Linked DNA regions of Oryctolagus cuniculus. The protein of the gene in region 1 interacts with the protein of each later gene in a pairwise test. Links are inferred from orthologs where the notes say so. Each region holds a gene or a part of one and is shown in the gene's direction. Other genes may lie near its edges. The genes, in order: TXLNB, cancer/testis antigen 55 and EXOC5.

The links.
Region 2: the proteins of TXLNB (region 1) and cancer/testis antigen 55 interact in binary tests that used the Homo sapiens proteins (3 or more experiments, as listed by UniProt). The two-hybrid records come from large-scale screens. The link is inferred for Oryctolagus cuniculus from reciprocal best matches to the Homo sapiens genes TXLNB and CT55.
Region 3: the proteins of TXLNB (region 1) and EXOC5 interact in binary tests that used the Homo sapiens proteins (3 or more experiments, as listed by UniProt). The two-hybrid records come from large-scale screens. The link is inferred for Oryctolagus cuniculus from reciprocal best matches to the Homo sapiens genes TXLNB and EXOC5.

Annotation. Positions count from the first base shown.
Region 1 is NC_091436.1:29,549,127-29,555,361, forward strand, and holds the start of TXLNB (beta-taxilin), read left to right. Parts: upstream 1-2,480; 5' UTR 2,481-2,676; intron 2,677-5,241; 5' UTR 5,242-5,242; coding exon 5,243-5,678; exon of another isoform or gene 5,679-5,682; intron 5,683-6,235. UniProt on the Homo sapiens protein: Promotes motor nerve regeneration. May be involved in intracellular vesicle traffic.
Region 2 is NC_091453.1:113,582,150-113,588,384, reverse strand, and holds the start of cancer/testis antigen 55, read left to right. Parts: upstream 1-2,098; coding exon 2,099-2,167; intron 2,168-3,871; coding exon 3,872-3,973; intron 3,974-6,235. UniProt on the Homo sapiens protein: Plays a role in spermatogenesis, possibly acting in the regulation of the autophagy pathway.
Region 3 is NC_091443.1:19,537,293-19,543,427, forward strand, and holds part of EXOC5 (exocyst complex component 5), read left to right. Parts: intron 1-3,213; coding exon 3,214-3,296; intron 3,297-4,496; coding exon 4,497-4,706; intron 4,707-6,135. UniProt on the Homo sapiens protein: Component of the exocyst complex involved in the docking of exocytic vesicles with fusion sites on the plasma membrane.

The DNA of each region.
Region 1 (6,235 bases):
ATCTCCCTAGGCTCTAGTCTTGAGTTGCCAAGGCTATGGAAGCCTTTTGAGTTCGCTGACTTTGATCTTATTCAGACAGGGTCTTAGTCAAAGTGGAAGTTCCCTCCTCCCTTCAGAGAAAGGTACCTCCTTCTTCCCCAAGAGCTCTTATAAGGGCCATAATCCCATTCATGAGGGCGCTACTCTCATAGCCTAATCATGATCTCTCAAAGACCCGCACTCGCTTCTGTCATCACTGGGGAGTTCGGATGTCAGTGTATGAACTCGGGGGCATACAAACATCCAGCTCATAGCAAGCAATAAAGGATGTGTCAGTATCAAATTAAATCATAGCAGGTGACACAAGTGAAACATCTGTAATAATCTGAATGGGCCAAGTCTTGAAGAAACTGTATCACTTTTTAAAGCTTTATTTTATTTTATTTGAAAGACAGAGTATCAAAAAGAGAGGGAAAGACAGAGAAAGAAAAATCTTCTATATGCTGGTTCACTCCTCAAATGGCTATAACAGTTGTGGCTTGGCCAGGCTAGAGCCAGGAGCCTGGGACTTCATTCAGGTCTTCCACATGGCAGGGGCCCCAGTACTTGGGCCATCTTCTGCTGCTTTCCCAGGCACATTATCAGGGATCTGGGCTCAATATGGCACCACAGGCAGTATTTTAACCAACTGTGCCTCAAGACCAGCACCTTGAGTCACTTCTTATAGAAAAACACCATGAACTCAAAAGGACCAACAGTCAGCACCAATATTCATGTTGCAAGTTGCACCTTGGACTCTGCACAACATTATTGCCAGAAAAAAAGTAATATTGGTAATTTAATTGCATTTATTGGTTTTATACTATATAATTACTGTAAGGATAAGAAACATCTATTTTCATATTAGTATATATTAGTCCAAATAATAATTTAGTTCAATCATAGAATGAATTTTTCCCTTTAAATTAAATTCAACATTATTTAAACTATTCTGTTAAAAAAATGTGCATAAATTTGAGAAGCACTGACTCATTTACTGACAAATCTCATTAGGTCAATTTTCTACAATCAGGTTGTAGCATTCACTAAGTGCTCATTAACGTTAGAAGGAAATACCTTTTTCTTTCATCGATTTTAGTTCACTAACTTTATTACCATGATGCAGTAAACGGCTTCATTGTTGAAATCACCCAGATTTCTTTTCCCTGACCTCTATTTATTAGTTATGCTCACCTATATATAATTTATGCCTCCCCTGACCTCAGAGAAAGGAGTAGGAAAACGCTTGAGAGGGTGCAATGTTTTGGGTTTCCTATTGCTGCCATAACAATTTACTATAAATTTAGCAGCTTAAAAAAAAAACTTACTATCTTATGCTTCTGTAAGAAACCCAAAAGGAGCTAAATGGGGCTAAAATCCACATGCCAGCAGTACTGCATTTTTCTGGAGGCTGCAGAGGAGAATCCATTTCCCTGCCTTTTCCAGTGTCTAGAACCTCCCGCATTCCTTGGTTCACTGCCACACATCACGCTGATCTTTACTGGTCATCAATCTTCTTTTCTAAGTCTGATCCTCTCACCTTCCTCTTACAATTATGAGAACCCTGTGGTTCATAATCCAGAACCATCTCCCCACGCCAAGACCTTAATCTAAGGCAAAATTGTTTTTGCCTTGTCAAGTTACGTGCACAGAACAGGGATTAGGATATGGACATCTTTTGGATGGCATTATTTGGTCTACCACAAGGAGTGCCACTTGGTCCATCCTGTCCCCAAAGCAGAAAGTCTCATAGAAGGATCTGCTTTGGAAAAGTAGGAACACATTCCCTGGGAACTGAAAGAAAAGGGCAGTAAATGTAAGACAGCATTTTACAGTGTGTGGGAATGAGGTTCTTTTTCTGAGGAAGATTGAGGAGCACACAGGGGCTTTGAAAGGGGTGGACACGCTGCTCTGCGAGGTGAGAAAACCCCACTAAGAAGATAAAGCAGACTGCTTTCCTAAGGGCCCGAGATGTGGTAGTCTCCTGGGAAGGACTCTCTGAGGACATGCCAGTCACCATGCACATGAAGATTACTCCCAGCTCCAAAACGCTCACTTCACTGCTATTGCACATTTGCAAACAGCGCAACTGTAGCGTCAGAATTAACGTGGCTCTACCACCTTTTCGGTATGCCCTTGTTTTCTGCTTTGCAGGATTCCTCCAGCATGAAACCTGACACTAATTAGGCTAGCCCCAAGTAGGAAAATAAAGATGATGAACCACAACCCACTCTGGAGATAAACCAAGGAAAACGGATCTCTGCCCAAAAGAACAACAGTGAAAAATCGTATTTGCCAAGGGGCTATCTACTAAGAGTTTAAATTTTTAGAAGAACAAAACGTGGAGAGTCTGATAAGATCTGCCAGCTACTGCTGTTTTCTCAGATATTTGCCAGGGCCACAGCCACTGAAGCTTGGGTGGATTTCTCTCTTGCTGTGTCATAAGATGTTCCTCTCCCCACCCCCACCTCCTCCCTCCTGCTGCCTCCACCAGTGCCTGTGTGTGTGTGTGTGCGCGCGCACGAGTGTGTATTTGGTTTCTCTCTCCCCTGTAAGAACACAGTCCGCCCGCCTTCTCCTGCTGTTGCTGCCGCTCTGACTTGCTCTTTGCTGCTGCTTTCCTCTCTTTCTCTTCCTGCTTAAGCTCCCTGCCTTCTGGTAAGTATGACAAACACTCCCCCAAGCCCTGTGAGATGTAGGGAGTGGTTTGTGGTGCTCGAAACTTGCAACTTTGAGACTGCCAGTGAACTGTTGAAGAACTTTCCATTGTTGCATTTATAATTAAAATGTGTGGCTCAGGAAGGGATGTGTGAGTGCTGGGACTGCCAGCACAAGTGAAATATGCTCTCAGAGGAGGGGAGGAAAGGGCAACACAGTTCACATAGATGAAAGTGAAAATTAAATTCTTTGACATAAAAATAATTTATATAAAAGGGTCCTTTAAAACTAACAATGTTTTTTCCTCTTGTTGATTTGTCTTGAGTCTACTTTTAGAAATTGAGTTGTCCTGTGGTTAATGACTCAGTTATTCTGCCTTAAAGTAAATGTGGAAAAGGAGTTTAAAGAATATTTGTGGAATTAAAGACATCAATGATAATGACATCTGAAGAATGAAGAATAAATCAAATACAAACAAAACATGTGCATGTAGACTAACCACAGTAAAACTCCATACACAGTCGGTTTTAAATTCTTGATTGAAATTCGCTTTCATTTTGATTTGATTTGATTTGATTCTAATATGGGTTCCCAACATTTTAAAACTCACATATGGTCTTAAGTCACTAAATACATACTGTTTTAATTTGATTTAAAAATTATTCTCTTGAATGCCCAAGGATGACGTGCTAAATGCCATGACTCATTTTAGAATAGCTTAAAATAACTTCTGACTGGACAGCAGGTGCCATGTGTCTTTGAGTTTAGAGGAAGCATAAGTTATATATAGATGAGTGTGCCTAACAAGTGGAGATCAAGATCAAGAGATTCCAATGAGGAAAACAAAGAAGCTGTCTACTACATACATTATCTGATCATCAAATTGGTGAATTAAAATTGGTGAAAGAAAAAAAGAACTTCCTTCTAACTTAATGAGTACTTGGTGAGAGCAACAAGTAGGTGGCAATGTCTAAGCTCTGGCTTTTCCTTTCTCGCTGGTGTCCAAACATCTGACACCCACTGCCCTGAGAATGAGGGAAGGGGGCTGTGCCGTTGATACAAGAGTATGTTTTTGTTCTCACTTTCACATGACCATAGCAGCAAAACCTATGAATGATGAGGATCGTGCCATATTTTATGGTCATAAGTAGCATCATCAGCATTAAATATTATTTACAGATAAAATGTTCCATCACTTAATGAACTAACACAAACTGATTGCAAATCTAGAAATGGTAGTAGCCAGACACCCTACAGTAATCTTCCACACAACTTTGTTCCTCACTCCTCATTTCTTAAGAACTTGTGTTATACTTACATTATTTTCCTAGTTCATTCCTTCCCTGCTTTTTTACTTGATATATAATAAAAATGATTGGCCGACGCCATGGCTCACTAGGGTAATCCTACGCCTAGCGGCGCCGGCACACCAGGTTCTAGTCCCGGTCGGGGAGCCGGATTCTGTCCCGGTTGCCCCTCTTCCAGGCCAGCTCTCTGCTGTGGCCAGGGAGTGCAGTGGAGGATGGCCCAAGTGCTTGGGCCCTGCACCCCATGGGAGACCAGGAGAAGTACCTGGCTCCTGCCATCGGATCAGCGCGGTGCGCCGGCCGCAGCGCCAGTCGCAGCGGCCACTGGAGGGTGAACCAAAGGCAAAGGAAGACCTTTCTCTCTGTCTCTCTCTCTCTCTCACTGTCCACGCTGCCTGTAAAAAAAAAAAAAAAAAAAAAAAAAAAAAATTATTAAGTTTCCCTAGAGTTACTTGCCTTGGAATAGAAAGTGATAATCTGCTTTCTTCTAAAAGAAAGCCGATTTTTATAGAGGAATAAAAAGTTATTGTAGAAATTTAAGAAATTGCTATTATTATAAGCATTACCATGTTTCCATATTGGTTGGTTTATTTACACCTTCCCTTATTCCACGTCTTATTACAAAAATGATGCTAGAATGAATTTCAGGAAAAATATTTTTGCTGATTGACAATTAATAACATGTTGCTCATCTGGGAAAAAGAAAATACTAGAAAGGCAAGAATATCTCCTGAATCACTAGAATAATTCATTTACATCCAACCATCTGTACTAATCAACTCTTTACTTACAGGTCAATATAAAGTTAGGGGCATTATTGTTATGAATCATTTAAAGTTAATTGGCTATTGTATTAAGTAATTTAACTTTGAATGAAAACTAATACCACTTAAAATTAAACATATGAAATGTATATACCTGTGTACTTCCAATGATTGTGAATCTACACATATTCATAAAAGAAAATGGTAACATTGGATCTTCTAAGCAAATGACAAATATGTCACGAAAAACAATACTTTGGTAATGTTAATAATAAGGTATACTGAAAACTAAAACCATAAATATGCTAGTAGTATGACTCCATCTGGAAAAATGGCTTCCCACTGTTTCTACCTAACTAATTGTAACAGCAATGATTTGTAAAAGTACATTCACTCTATGTTAGAAACCATAATTAGTTGATGCTCAATTTGCTCACATAACTTAGTGAACTACACAAAACCTAACTATGCTTACCACTTGATACTACACACAGTATGGAGATTAATCACGCTGAACAGCTCTCAGCAGAACAGTCCACACCTCCAGAGGACAGTTCTTCATCACCTAGGCAGAATGGCCTTGAGAAGCAAGATGGTCAGAATTCCCCAACCCTACTCCAAGCACCACAGCAAGAGGCAAGTGTGCACCCTGAAAAGGGGACTCACGACATCTCTGAAGAGTTAAACCGTCAACTGGAAGACATCATCAACACATACGGGTCTGCTGCCAGTACAGTGGGCAAAGAGGGAGCTCCCAAGGCCAAGGAGCAGCCTGCAAATGCAGAAGCAGCCGACCATGAGGATGGAGACTGTGAGGAGAACGCTGGAGAGGCTGACAGAGAACCTGCTGCTTCTGGAGACCCAGCCACAGTTAAAGAGCCAATCAGCAATAAAGAGCAAAAATTGGAAAAGAAAATCCTAAAAGGATTAGGCAAGTAGTTATGTTCTAACATGACTTTTCTTTGAATTATTCCTAAGAGGGGCACTTTCTCCAAACTCCACTAAAACCCACATCTAATATTTGCATCTCCTTCAGATCTTCCCACAGGCTCTCTTGTTCCCAGCCCCTTTCCCACAATAGAGTTTAAGTGAACTTTTTAACATATTACCCATCTTCCCTCTGTCCCAATGGTTTCCCATTGCCTTAGGGTAAAGACTAACATTCTTTTTTTTGGGGGGGGGGCCTCAATTTTTTCTTTTTTTAACTTATTTTTTAAGGAATATAAATTTCATAAGTACAACTTTAGGAACATAGTTATTCTTCCCACCATACCTTCCCTCCCACCCACACTCCCACACCTCCTCTTCCTCCTCCTTCACTTGCCAGTCCCATTCTCCATTAAGATCCATTTTCAATTAACTTTGAACACGAAGACCAACTCTATACTAACTGAAGATTTCAACAATTTGCACACACACACACATACACAAAAAAACTGTTTGAAAACAGTTAACTCTCATAATACAATTCATTGAGGACAGAGGTCC
Region 2 (6,235 bases), on another chromosome or scaffold:
CCCTGCCATGGTGCTGCCTCTCAGATGTTCCTGGGACTCAGTAGGAATAGCTGTGAATGAAACTAACAGCTAAGAAATAATCATTTCCTGGCTGCTTCCTCGGGTCAGGCACTGTGTTAAATGCCTATTTTTTCACGTGGTTTTTTCATTGCCTTCTCAAAGAACTCTATTTATTTAATGAATTAACCATCATTTTGAAAATGTAAAAAGTGGAGCCGGCACTGTGGCACAGCGGATTAAAAACCCCAGCCGGCACTGCCAGCATCCCATATGGGCGCCACTTCGTGTCTCGGCTGCTCCACTTCTGATCCAGCTCTCTGCTGTGGCCTGGAAAAGCAGTGAAGGATGGCCCACGTCCTTGGGTTCCTGAACCCACGTGGGAGACCTGGAAGAAGCTCCTGGCTCCTGGCTTCATATCAGCTCAGCTCTGGCCATTGTGGTCATCTGGGGAGTGAACCAGCAGATAGAAGACCTCTCTCTCTCTCTGTCTCTCTCTGGCTCTACCTCTCTTTGTAACTCCATCTTTCCAGTAAATAAAATAAATCTTTTTTTAAAAAAGAAAATGTAAAAAGTAAAGCCCAGAGAGTATAAGAGACCTGAGCAAAGTCACACAGTTCATAACCTGAAAAGCTGGGATTCCAACTTAACACTGAATCACTGCAGTGGTGTAGCACATAATTGATTAAGATCTTGCTCCTCATATAACTTCTGAACAGTTATATTTCTCATCCTCCTGATTTATTTGTTAACAGAAGGCAAATGTCAAAGCCTTTGGTGAACTTCCAGCTGAAGTCTGGCCTACACTAATGGAAACAGCGACATCTGTGGGTTACGCTTGTTAACTACATCTGGAGGTCTTTGGGAGGGTGTGATTAGGGCCTTTCTCAAGAAGAGACAGTCACACAGGAGACCTCGAATAGCTAAAGCAATCTTATATAGCAAAAACAAAGCTGGAGGCATCACAATACCAGATTTCAACACATACTACAGGGCAGTTATAATCAACACAGCCTGGGACTGGTACAAAAACAGAGGGCTAGACAAATGGAATAGAATAGAAACACCAGAAATCAATCCAAACATCTACAACCAACTTATATTTGACCAAGGAGCTAAAACCAATCCCTGGAGCAAGGACAGTCTATTCAACCAATGGTGCTGGGAAAACTGGATTTCCACATGCAGAAGCATGAAGCAAGACCCCTACCTTACACCTTACACAAAAATCCACCCAACACTGATTAAAGATCTAAATCTACGACCTAACACCATCAAGTTATTAGATAACATCGGAGAAACCCTGTAATATATAGGCGCAGGCAAAGACTTCTTGGAAAAGACAACAGCCAGAGCAGGGCCAGGCCAAAGCCAGGAGCCAGGAGCAGCATCTGGGTTTCCCATGTGGGTGGTAGGGACCCAACTACTTGGGCCATCTTCCACCACATTCCCAGTCACATTAATTAGCAGAGAGCTGGAGCAGAAGTAGAGCAGCTGGGACTCTAACTGGCTTCTGATACAGGATGCCAGCATTGCAGGCACAGAGTTAACCCATAGTGCCATAACGCCAGACTTTATTCCTCATGTGTGACTGGATCTTAATTTGGGCAACAGGGGCAAGTGTTAACCTGTGTATTGGCGTTGCTCTAAGCACCGCTAACAGACATACTACTTTAGCTGGCTAGTTTGAATAGACACAAAACTCTACTGAATGTACCTTTTAGTAGGTCTTGGCTTTGAGTCAATATTTAAAAAAAAAAAAAAACACTTGCTGACATACATTTTTGTTTCAGAATTGGACCTCTTCCACAGATGCAAGTTCCTTCCAGCCTTTCATTAAATGTCTTACAACCCGTGCCCTGTCCCTGGGAGATTCAAGCACACAGAAGAAGCTTCATCTTGTCAGTGTGCATGCACTCATTCTCTCAGTTCTGTCCCCTTTGGGGTGGCTCAACAGAGGTATCTAATGCATGATGGGGTCATCCAGAGCCCATGTGGTTATGCTCCCCACCTGCCTGCTTGGTGCAGAACAGCAAAGACTTCTTGACTGCCTCATGGCCCTGCATTCACTATCCCCCTCCCCCACCCAGAAGCATACTCCATGGCACTGGCCTTGGATGGAGTGCTCAGCTCTGACTCTGGGAACTTCTCCTTGGACATGGACACCCTGGTCTTGTGGGGACATTGGCTGTCACACACATGAACTCCTCCCCGATGTGTACCCAACCCTACATAGTCTCACTTAGGATCTAGCTCCCTGCTAATGTGCAGGGGAAAGCAATGGAGGATAGCCTAAAGGCTTGGGCCCTTGCACCCATGTGGAAGACCTGGATGAAGCTCCTGGTTCCTGTCTTCCAACTGACCCAGCCCTGGCTATTGCAGCAATTTGGGGAGTGAACCAGTAGATGGAACATCTCTCTCTCTCTCTCTCTCTCTCTCTCTCTCTCCCCCTCTCCCTCTTCCTCTGCCTGTTCTTTCCCTCTCCTTCTCTTTCTGTAACTCTGTCAAAGAAATGAATAGATCTTTAAAAACAAATCTAGGCATATAGACCAAAGGAACAGAACAGAGTTCAGAAATAAATCCACACATTTCAAGTCAACTGTTCTTCAACAATGGTACCAAGAATACACAATGGGGAAAGGGTGGTTCCTTCAATAAATGGTGTTAAGAAAATTGAATATTCACATGCAGAAGAATGACATTGAATTCTTACCTAACACTATATACAAAAGTCAACTGAAAAAAGATTAAAGACAAATGTAAAATCTGAAACTGTACAAATACTGAAAGAAAATAAAATAGGAAAGTCCTGGGATTTTTTTCTTTTGGGGGGAGGGTGTGGGCAATGATTTTTTGATATGACTCCAAAAGCATAGGCTATAAAAGTTAAACTGGGTAAGTGGGACTGCATCAAACTATAAAGCTTCTGCACAGCAAAGAAAACAATACATAGAATGAAAAGGCAGTCTATGGGATGAGAGAAAATATTTTAAGTTACACAACTAATGAGAGATTAATATTAAAAATAAAGAAAGAATACATACAATCAGGTTAAAAAGTAAGCAAAGGACTAGAATAGATATTCCTCAAAAGAAGACATACAAATGGCCAATAGGTATGTGAAAAGTTGCTCAACATAACTAATCATCAGGGAAATATACATCAAAACTACAGTGTTCTATCACTTCATACCCTTTAGAATAGCTATTACCAAGCTGTGAAGACATAACAAGTGCTAGGTATCTTGTGAAAAAAGGGAACATTGTACATTGTTTTGAGAACATAAATTAACTTAGCCATTATGGAAAGTAGATTGGGGGTTTCTAAAAAGTAGAACTACTTTATGATCCAGCAATATCATTTCTGCATATAGATACAGAAATATATATTTATATATTAAACTATATTATATATTTAAAAATATTATATATTAAATATATATAAAGGAAATGAAATCAGTAGCCTGAAGAGATATCTGCACCCCCACATTCATTGTAGTATTTTTCATAATGGTCAACATGTGGAAATAATCTAAATATCCACTGACAGATGAATAGATAACAAAAATATGACACACACAATGGAATATTATTCAACCTTTAAAAAGAAAGAAATCCTGCCACTTCCTACAATATGGATGAATCTTGAAGTCATTAAGCAAAGTGAAATAAGTGAGGAACAGAAAGACAAATACTGCATGATTACATCTGTGAGAAATAAGCCCACCTGAGAACACCTAACCACAAAAAGATAGACTCAGAAACATGAAGGAAGCAGAAAGTGAGGCGTTTACTGATACCTTATCTCAAGAGTGGTGATCAGATGGTGGGAGCAGGTGTTACTCTCAGAAATTTATTTCCTTTTATGCCTGTAGTGCAAAGTTCCCTTCTGCAAGTTTGAGCAACATCAGCAGGTACAATCTAAACATGATAATGCAAGTGAAGGAGGCAATGAAGTATTGGATGTTGCTGGGCAGGTAGGATAGGGGAGAGGGAGATAACAATGTGGTTACATAGTTTAAACTGTTAGGAAGTTAGAAATTAGCCTATGTGTACACAAGTGAGGGCCCATAAATAAAAAAAGGAAGGTAACAGCCATACAAGCAGCACAGTATTTTACACTACAAAGTTCTGCCCATACCCCAGTAGCTCTGCAGGTGGTTCTAGCCTTCCTCCAAAGGGATCACATCTGCCAGGCACCAGGTGGACTGCTCAGTCTGATAACACTTCATACTAAAACCTTGGGAGGAATTTTACATAATTCACACTCAGCACATCCTATTGTCCAGAAGAAGGATCAAGGAAGGAGAAGTGACAGGAAGAACTGGACCCCATTCCCTTAGAAACCCCAGTGTAAAGGTAAACTAGGGGCGCTCTCTCAGATCCTGTCTAGAGAGCAGTCCATCTGTTCTATGAATGCCTATCCTTTAAACCTTGTCACTCTGCCCACCACCCTTCTCTGTCTCATGTCTGAATTGTGTTTTGTGTAAAGACATGAATCTATTCCACTCAGCTTCAATAAGTGAGCTCATCAGCTTTGTTTTGTTTTGTTTAACTTAACTTCCTTTGCAGATGGGGACTAGACCCTGGCATCACGATTGTACTTAGGCTAAATTCTTATGAAAATACACTACTTGGGCCAGCGCCGTGGCGCAGTAGGATTATCCTCTGCCTGCGGCACCAGCATCCCATATGGGTGGAGGTTCTAGTCTCGGCTGTCCCTCTTCCAATCCAGCTCTCTGCTATGTCCTGGGAAAGCAGTGGTAGATGGCCCAAGTCCTTAGGCTCCTGCACCTGCGTGGGAGACCAGGAAGAGGCTCCTGGCTCCTGGCTTCAGATCGGCACAGCTCCGGCCATTGTGGCTATTTGGGGAGTGAACCAATGGAAGGAAGACCTTTCTCTCTGTCTCTTCTTCTCACTGTCTGTAACTCTGCTTCTCAATAAATAAAATCTTTTTAAAAAGAGAAAACACACCACTGGTTCACTTCTAACAACTCCTATATGAGGAATAGAAAATATCCAAAATTACAGGAGCTGGCATTGTGGTATAGTGGGTTAAGCTGCCACCTGCAATGCCAGCATTCCATATGGGCATGGGTTAAAGTCCTGTCTGCTCCACTTCTGATCCACCTCCCTGGTAATGTGCCTGAGAAAGCAAAGGAAGATGGTTGAAGTGCTTGGGCCCCTGCATCCATGTGGGAGACCTGGAAGAAGCTCCTGGCTTTGGCCTGGCCCAGCCCTGGCTACTGTATTCCACCAGCAGGTGGAAGTTTCTCTCTGTCTTTCTGTTTCTGTTTCTGTCTCTGTATCTCTCTCCATAGCTCTGACTTTCAAATAAAAAATAAATCTTTAAAAATAGTTGAAATTACAGAACTAGATTGTACAATAATGGTTGTTATGGTGGAAGAGAAATATGGAGATGTTAGAGCAAAGTTCAGTTATGTGTGCAGGTGTTGTGGCACAGCAGGTTAAGCCATTGCTTGAGACACCGACATCCCATATCAGAGTGCCGGTTTGAGTCCTGGATACTTCATGATTCTTATTCAGTTTCCTGTTAATGCCCCTTGGAGGCAACAAATGATGGCCCCAAGTGCTTGGATTCCTGCCACAAATGTGGAAGTCCTTGATGCAGTTTGTGGCTCCTGGCTTTATCCTGATCCAGATGTGGCTGTTGGAAGCATTTAGGGAGTGAACCAGTAGATGGAAAATCAAGATCTCTCTCTCTCTCTCTCTCTCTCTCTCTCCCCTTTTCAAATAAATACATAAGTAAATAAATAAATATTTGAAAAATATTCTGTGTGGTGAATAATTGTACAGCAATGTGACTATAGTTAAAAAAAAATTGTATCCCTGAAATTTTCAAAGAAGATTGTTCTTAAGGGTTCTCAAACCCTGCAGAAAGGTGAATGATAACTATGTGAAGTGATGGATATTTTAATTAGCTTACTGTTGTGATTATTTCATAATGCATGCATCTATCAAAACATTAAGTTGTGTATTTGAGTATATATGACATTTTTGCCAACTATACCTCAATGAAACTAGAGAAGGGGAAAGAATTGTTGTGTGACTCTAATTCTCTTACCTCATTTAGCTGTTCCTTGAGCCCACCAGGCACTCTTGTCTCCCGATCCTGTTGTCTGTCCACAGACCTCCTCCCCATATAGACGCAAGCCATCACATCACCTGTTTCAAAACTTTGATAAATGTGGTTTCTTTCTTTTCTTTTTTCTTTTCTT
Region 3 (6,135 bases), on another chromosome or scaffold:
TTAATTTAGTTTACTTAAAGTACTTGTGGAAAAATGGAATTAAAAGATAGGTTTATTTTGATATAAAAGAATTTTGAAATCTGTGCATAGGTTTTTATTTTCCTTTTTTTTTAAAAAGATTTATTTATTTTTATTTGAAAGAGTTACAGAGAGAGAGAGAGAGAGAGAGGTCTTCCATCCGATGGTTCACTCCCCAGTTGGCTGCAATAGCTGGAGCTGCACTGATCCGAAGCCAGGAGTCTCTTCCCAGTCTCCCGTGTGGGTGCAGGGGCCCAAGGTCGTGGGCCATCTTCTACTGCTTTCCCAGGCCATAGCAGAGAGCTGGATTGGAAGTGGAGCAGCCGATTCTCCAACTGGTGCCCATATGAGATGCCGGTGTTTCAGGCCAGGGCGTTAACCTGCTGCGCCACAGCATCGGCCCCTAAGCATAGGTTTTTCATAATTCACGTACTCTGAATTTTTTTTTCTTTTTTCTTTTAAAACTTTTATTTCGAGTGAGACCCTCCCCCCCCCCCCCAATCTTCTGGTGCTGCCCCCAAAGGCCTAAAATGGCCAGAGGGAGGGCCGAAGCCAGGAGGTGGGAGGGCAGTGTCTGATCCCAGGTGGGTGGTAGAGGCTCTCACCTCTGGCATGGGGAGGGAGTGGAGACGGGCAGCATTACCAGGAGGCAAGAATGGAGAAGTAACCAGGAACTTACACAGGGTACTCAAGAGGCGTCCCAGTGGCTTCCACCCTCAGCTTGTGGTTTCTGTGCCCACCCTGGCTACAAATCAGCTGCATTTAAAGATCAGCTCATTCCACTGAGAGAGTTCCACCCCATCGAGTGGCTGGGTTCAATTCCCACCTCGTTCCACCAACCCAGCATCACACCCCAATCCAGAAGCACCTGTGTTGGCTTGGGGCTAGGATTGCTGACAACTGGAGACTGTAATGTCCAAAGCAGTGTCACTGAGCCACCCTCCCAGGACTTGGGAAAGTATCTTTTGGGTTATTAAGACCCTCACAGCATGGCGGGACAATAGGCTCCCCTGCCCAACCCAAACCAGGCCAGACCTTGGTATTACTCCATAAACTCTGGGAGACGCCCACCCAGCACAAGCAGGGCCAGGAAGCTGCCACCACCCTCCCTCACCGCCCAACCCCAGTACGTGCTGCTCAGCTGAGGAGCCATCAGGGGGGTGTGATATCCCGGTGAAGGTTCCATGGCAGTGTCTGGACTTTTTGAAGACCCTTTCTTTAGGGACCTTAGAAATAGTAATCAGTTAAGGGCAAGGGAATGCTAGTATCATGCTTTTTAAATAATGTTTTGATATTCATCAAGGAAAAAGTGTCAGTCACCGCCATCAGGGTACGTGCGTGAAGTTTGTATAGCTCTAGTAGTAGAGAGATACTGTAGTAAGATAGCCTCAATTTTTGTTCGTCTTCATTTTGCCTGATAGATGACTTTTATAGAATTAAACAAGAATTATAAGTTTAGTCTGTAGAATTTTTAGTAATGATATCAGCTTAAAAAGGAAAAGCACAGGAATTTAATTTACAACCTTGAATGCTGTAGCACTATACTTTCAGGAAACACTTCCTAAACTATGTTTACTGCTGGATTAAGCAACATTCAGTATATTTTTTGTTGTTGTTGTTGTTAATGCAGTTTAGGACTTTCAGTAGCCTTACAAGTTGTGATTCTTTAGAAATGGGATTTTAGTGTACAGCATTTCTCACATTGACCAAGAAACCTTATTTTATAGTCATGCCTGGTAATATCTAAAGGGACACTGGCACTGCCTGGACCACAGTTTGGGAAATGTGCTGTAAGACATTGATGCTGGTGGTGTGGTTTCAGTTGTTTGATTGAATTTGTTTGTCTGTTTTAAATACCTCATGAGGCAGAATAAGCCAGTTTCAAAAGAAAGGGTATTTCTAAACTCATAATACTTACTCCGAAGACTGAACGGGATTTTCTGCAAGCAAATAGGAGAAACAGAAAATAAAATTTTGGTTTTTTTAAAGGCTTATTTATTTATTTGAAAGTCAGAGATCTTCCATCTGATGATTCACTCCCCAGTTGGCTGCAAATGGCCGCAGCTGGGCCAGGATGATGCTAGGAGCAAGGAGTTTCCTCTGGGTCTCCCCTGTTGGTGCAGGAGCCCAAGAACTTGGGCCATCCTCCTCTGTTCTCCCAGGCACATTATCAGGGAGCTGGATTGGAAATGGAGTAGCTGGGAATGGAACCGGTACCCATAGGGGATGCTGGCACTGCAGATGGGGCTTAATTTGCTGTGCCACAGTTCCAGCTCCTTTTCCCCTTTTTAATTTTTATGATTGGTCTGTTTCTCTGAATTGCCTTTGAAGATTTATGTATTTATTTGTTTGGCAGAGTGACAGAGGGAGGTAGAGAGGAAGAGGGAGGAAAGGAAGGAGGAAAGAAGAACACAGAGAGGGAGAGAAAAGGAGGGATGGAGCAAGGAAAGAAGAAAACAGAGATTTTCCATCTGGATGTTCACTTTCCAAATGGTGATAATAGCCAGGAGCCAGAAACTCCATCTGGGTCTCCTACAGGGATGGCAGGGACACAAGCACTTGGGCCATCCTCCACCTCCTTCCCAGGCTTGTTAGCAGGAAGCTGGATCAGAAGCCTAACAGCTGGCACTCGAACTGTAGCTCCAGTTTGGGATGCTGGCCTTGCAAGCTGAGTCACAATGCCAGCCCTTGGTGTTGCTTTCCTGATTGGATTTTAAGTCAGTGTAATTCAAACTATGGAAGAATTTTAGAGACAAAAAAAAAAATCTTGGGGCCGGTGCTGTGGTGTAGCGGGTAAAAGCTGCCTCCTGCAGTGCTGGCATTCCATATGGGCGACAATTTCAGACTCGGCTGCTCCACTTCCAATCCAGCTCCCTGCTATGGCCTGGGAAAGCAGTGGAATATGGCCCAAGTGCTTGGGCCCCTGCACCCACGTGAGAGACCCCAAGGAAGCTCCTGGCTCCTGGTTTCAGGTCGGCACAGCTCTACCCGTTGCAGCCAATTGGGGAGCGAACCATCGATGGAAGACCTCTCTCTCTCTCTCTCTCTCTCTCTCTCTCTCTCTGCCTCTCCTTCTTTCTCTGTGTAACTCTTTGAAATAATAAAATAAATAAATCTTTAAAAGAAAAATCTTGGGAAGTTAAAGAATTTAATATTTACTTAATTAATAGAATGTTGACTTTTTTTTTTCTTTAGGGTTTTGTGAAAGACCAGTTAGAAGAATGTAGGAAATCTGATGCAGAGCAGTATCTCAAAAACCTCTATGATCTATATACAAGGTATATTTTTAATTGTTAGAAAATAATAATCCATCTCAGATTTTTTAAATAGAAAATGGGGAAATATTCAGGTACGTCTGAATAACATTTTGTCAGATAGCAGTATGCCTTTTAGCATTAAATGCATGGCCATATAGAGTAGTAATATGCAAGAGCAGTGTTCTTAGTGCATTAACCTTAGGAATTGGATGCTATGCTTTATGTTAATGTTCTTTAATGATGAAACATAAGACCTTATTTAAACTTAAGACTCAACTTTTTTTTTCTGAATTTAATTGTGGCTGTTTCACTATTCTGTATCATTTTCACCTATAAATTAGTGTAGTTACATTTATCTGAAGTTAAAACTTGCAGAAAATTCAAAAGGGAGTGATATTTGTAACAAATAACAATTTCAGCTTTAAGTGATGTGAGAATTTGTCTTGTACTTTTAAATATTTGTAATCTATTGTACTTTTTTTCAAATATCTGTATAGTCTATTGTACTTTATATATATCCCTGTTGAGCTGCTCTCTGCATCCTAAGTCGTATTCTCCCAAAGTCTAAGAAGTTGTTGCTTAATTAAAAGCATATTGTAAAAATACATATTTCTTAGTATTGTTACTATACAGATGCTGTCTCAGAAGCTTCATTGGAACTTTTGTTCTTGACCTTTTCCAATTCTATTGCTTTTCTTCAGTGTCTTCATTTTGAGAGAAGGTTCTACAAAAGTTACCCTAATGAAGAAGTCCCAGTCAAACACAAGATTATTGTGTACCTATCTTCAACAATAGGAGATAGAAAATTAGAGGAAAGTTCACGAGGACAAAGAGGAAAGGGGCTGAACCGAGAGCAGATCTCCCAAGGCTCTGTTTCGGGTGCTCTGTGGCGAATGGCACTCGAGCATACTTGAGGCAATGGAGTCTTTTGCCACTGTTGTCATGTCTAGACTGCTTCTTTACCTCACAGTTTCTTCTCCTAGAACATCCAGAGGTGCTTGGGATAGTTGTCAGTCATAATGTGATTTTTAATATTCCATTCTAATTTATATAAAATCCTGTAGAGCCACTCTTTGCATCTTAAGTACTCATCTTAAGGATTAAGAAATGGTAGTTTAATGTAATTCATTAAAGTCAAATTGTAAACGTATATTCCTCAGTACTGTTGCTATACCTAAATAAATATACATTAATCTTTTTCTCCCCCTTTTCCATCAAAAGAACCACCAATCTTTCCAGCAAGTTGATGGAGTTTAATTTGGGTACTGATAAACAGACTTTCTTGTCCAAGCTTATCAAATCCATTTTCATTTCCTATTTGGAGAACTATATTGAAGTGGAGACTGGATATCTGAAAAGCAGAAGTGCTATGATCCTACAGCGTTATTATGATTCAAAAAATCATCAAAAGAGATCCATTGGCACAGGAGGGTGAGTGTTCTTGTTAAATATTATAGTTAAAACTGAAGAGATTAAGAACTTTTTTTTTTCAATTTGGGCAAGCATAGAAAATATTGACTGTCATTAGAATTTTCTTTTTCCTTTTTTTAAGATTTATTTATTTATTTGAAAGTCAGAATTACACAGAGAGAGAAGGAGAGGCAGAGAGAGAGAGAGAGAGGTCTTCCATCCGCTGGTACACTCCCCAGTTGGCTGCAACGACTGGAGCTACACCGATCCGAAGCTAGGAGCCAGGAGCTTCCTCCGGGTCTCCCACGCAGGTGCAAGAGCCCAAGGACTTGGGCCATCTTCTGCTGCTATCCCAGGCCATAGCAGAGAGCAGGATTGGAAGTGGAGCAGTCGGGACTAGAACTGCCGCCCATATGGGATGCCAGCGCTTCAGGCCAGGGCGTTAACCTGCTGCGCCCCAGTGCCAGCCCCAGAATTTTTAGTATAGAACTTTTAACCCAGTTGTTCATATCATGTTGACATTTCAACTCTTGACCACATATTGAAATAAATTAATATAACATGATTATAATGTTTAGCAGATGTTTGTTAGTTTTTTAAAAAATTAACTTTTAAAAATGTAAAGCAGAATAGCAGTAATATAAAGAGTTCTGTAGTTTTTTTTTTTTCTGCCAGAGTAAATTATTTCAGGTTATTTTTGTGGAAGTTTATCATTTTTTTGTTTGTTACTTTTGTGAGTTTGAAAATATAGCAGATAGTTCACAATTTAGGTACTCAAATTGATGAATTTTTTTCAATGACTTGGGCATAAAAGTTAAATTAATACTTGAAAACCAATGATTATTCACATACTGGAAGAAAGTGATGTGTAAGAATTGGCTTTCAGTTACCTGGACCCTAACCACTTGGCACCCAGTTGTTTCTAGAAGAAGGCGGAATGATTTCTGTGAATGCAGAGTCCACACCCGTGCAAACCCAAATCAGTGTCTCTTAAAAATAGTTATTTAGTTATTTAGTTATTTGAAAGGCAGAGCTAGGGAGAGAGTGAGAGCGAGTGAGCAAGCGTCCATCTGCTGTTTCACATCTGATAAAGGATTAATATCCAGGGTATATAAGGAGCTCAAGAAAGTCAACAACAAAACAAGCAATCCAGTTAAGAATTGACCTAAAGATATAAACAGGCATTTTTCAAAGGATAAAATGTAGATGGCCAAACAGACACATGAAAAGATGCTCAGGGTCACAAGTCATCAGGACAATGCAAATAAAAGGCATGATGAGGATTCACTTTACCCCACTTAGAATGACTGTCATCTAAAAATCAAAGGTTAACAGATACTGGCAAGGATACGGGTGAAAAGTACCCTAATACTCTGTTGGTTGGAATGTATACTAGTACAACTGTTATGGAAGACAGTGTGGAGATTCTTCAGAAACCTGAAAGTAGATT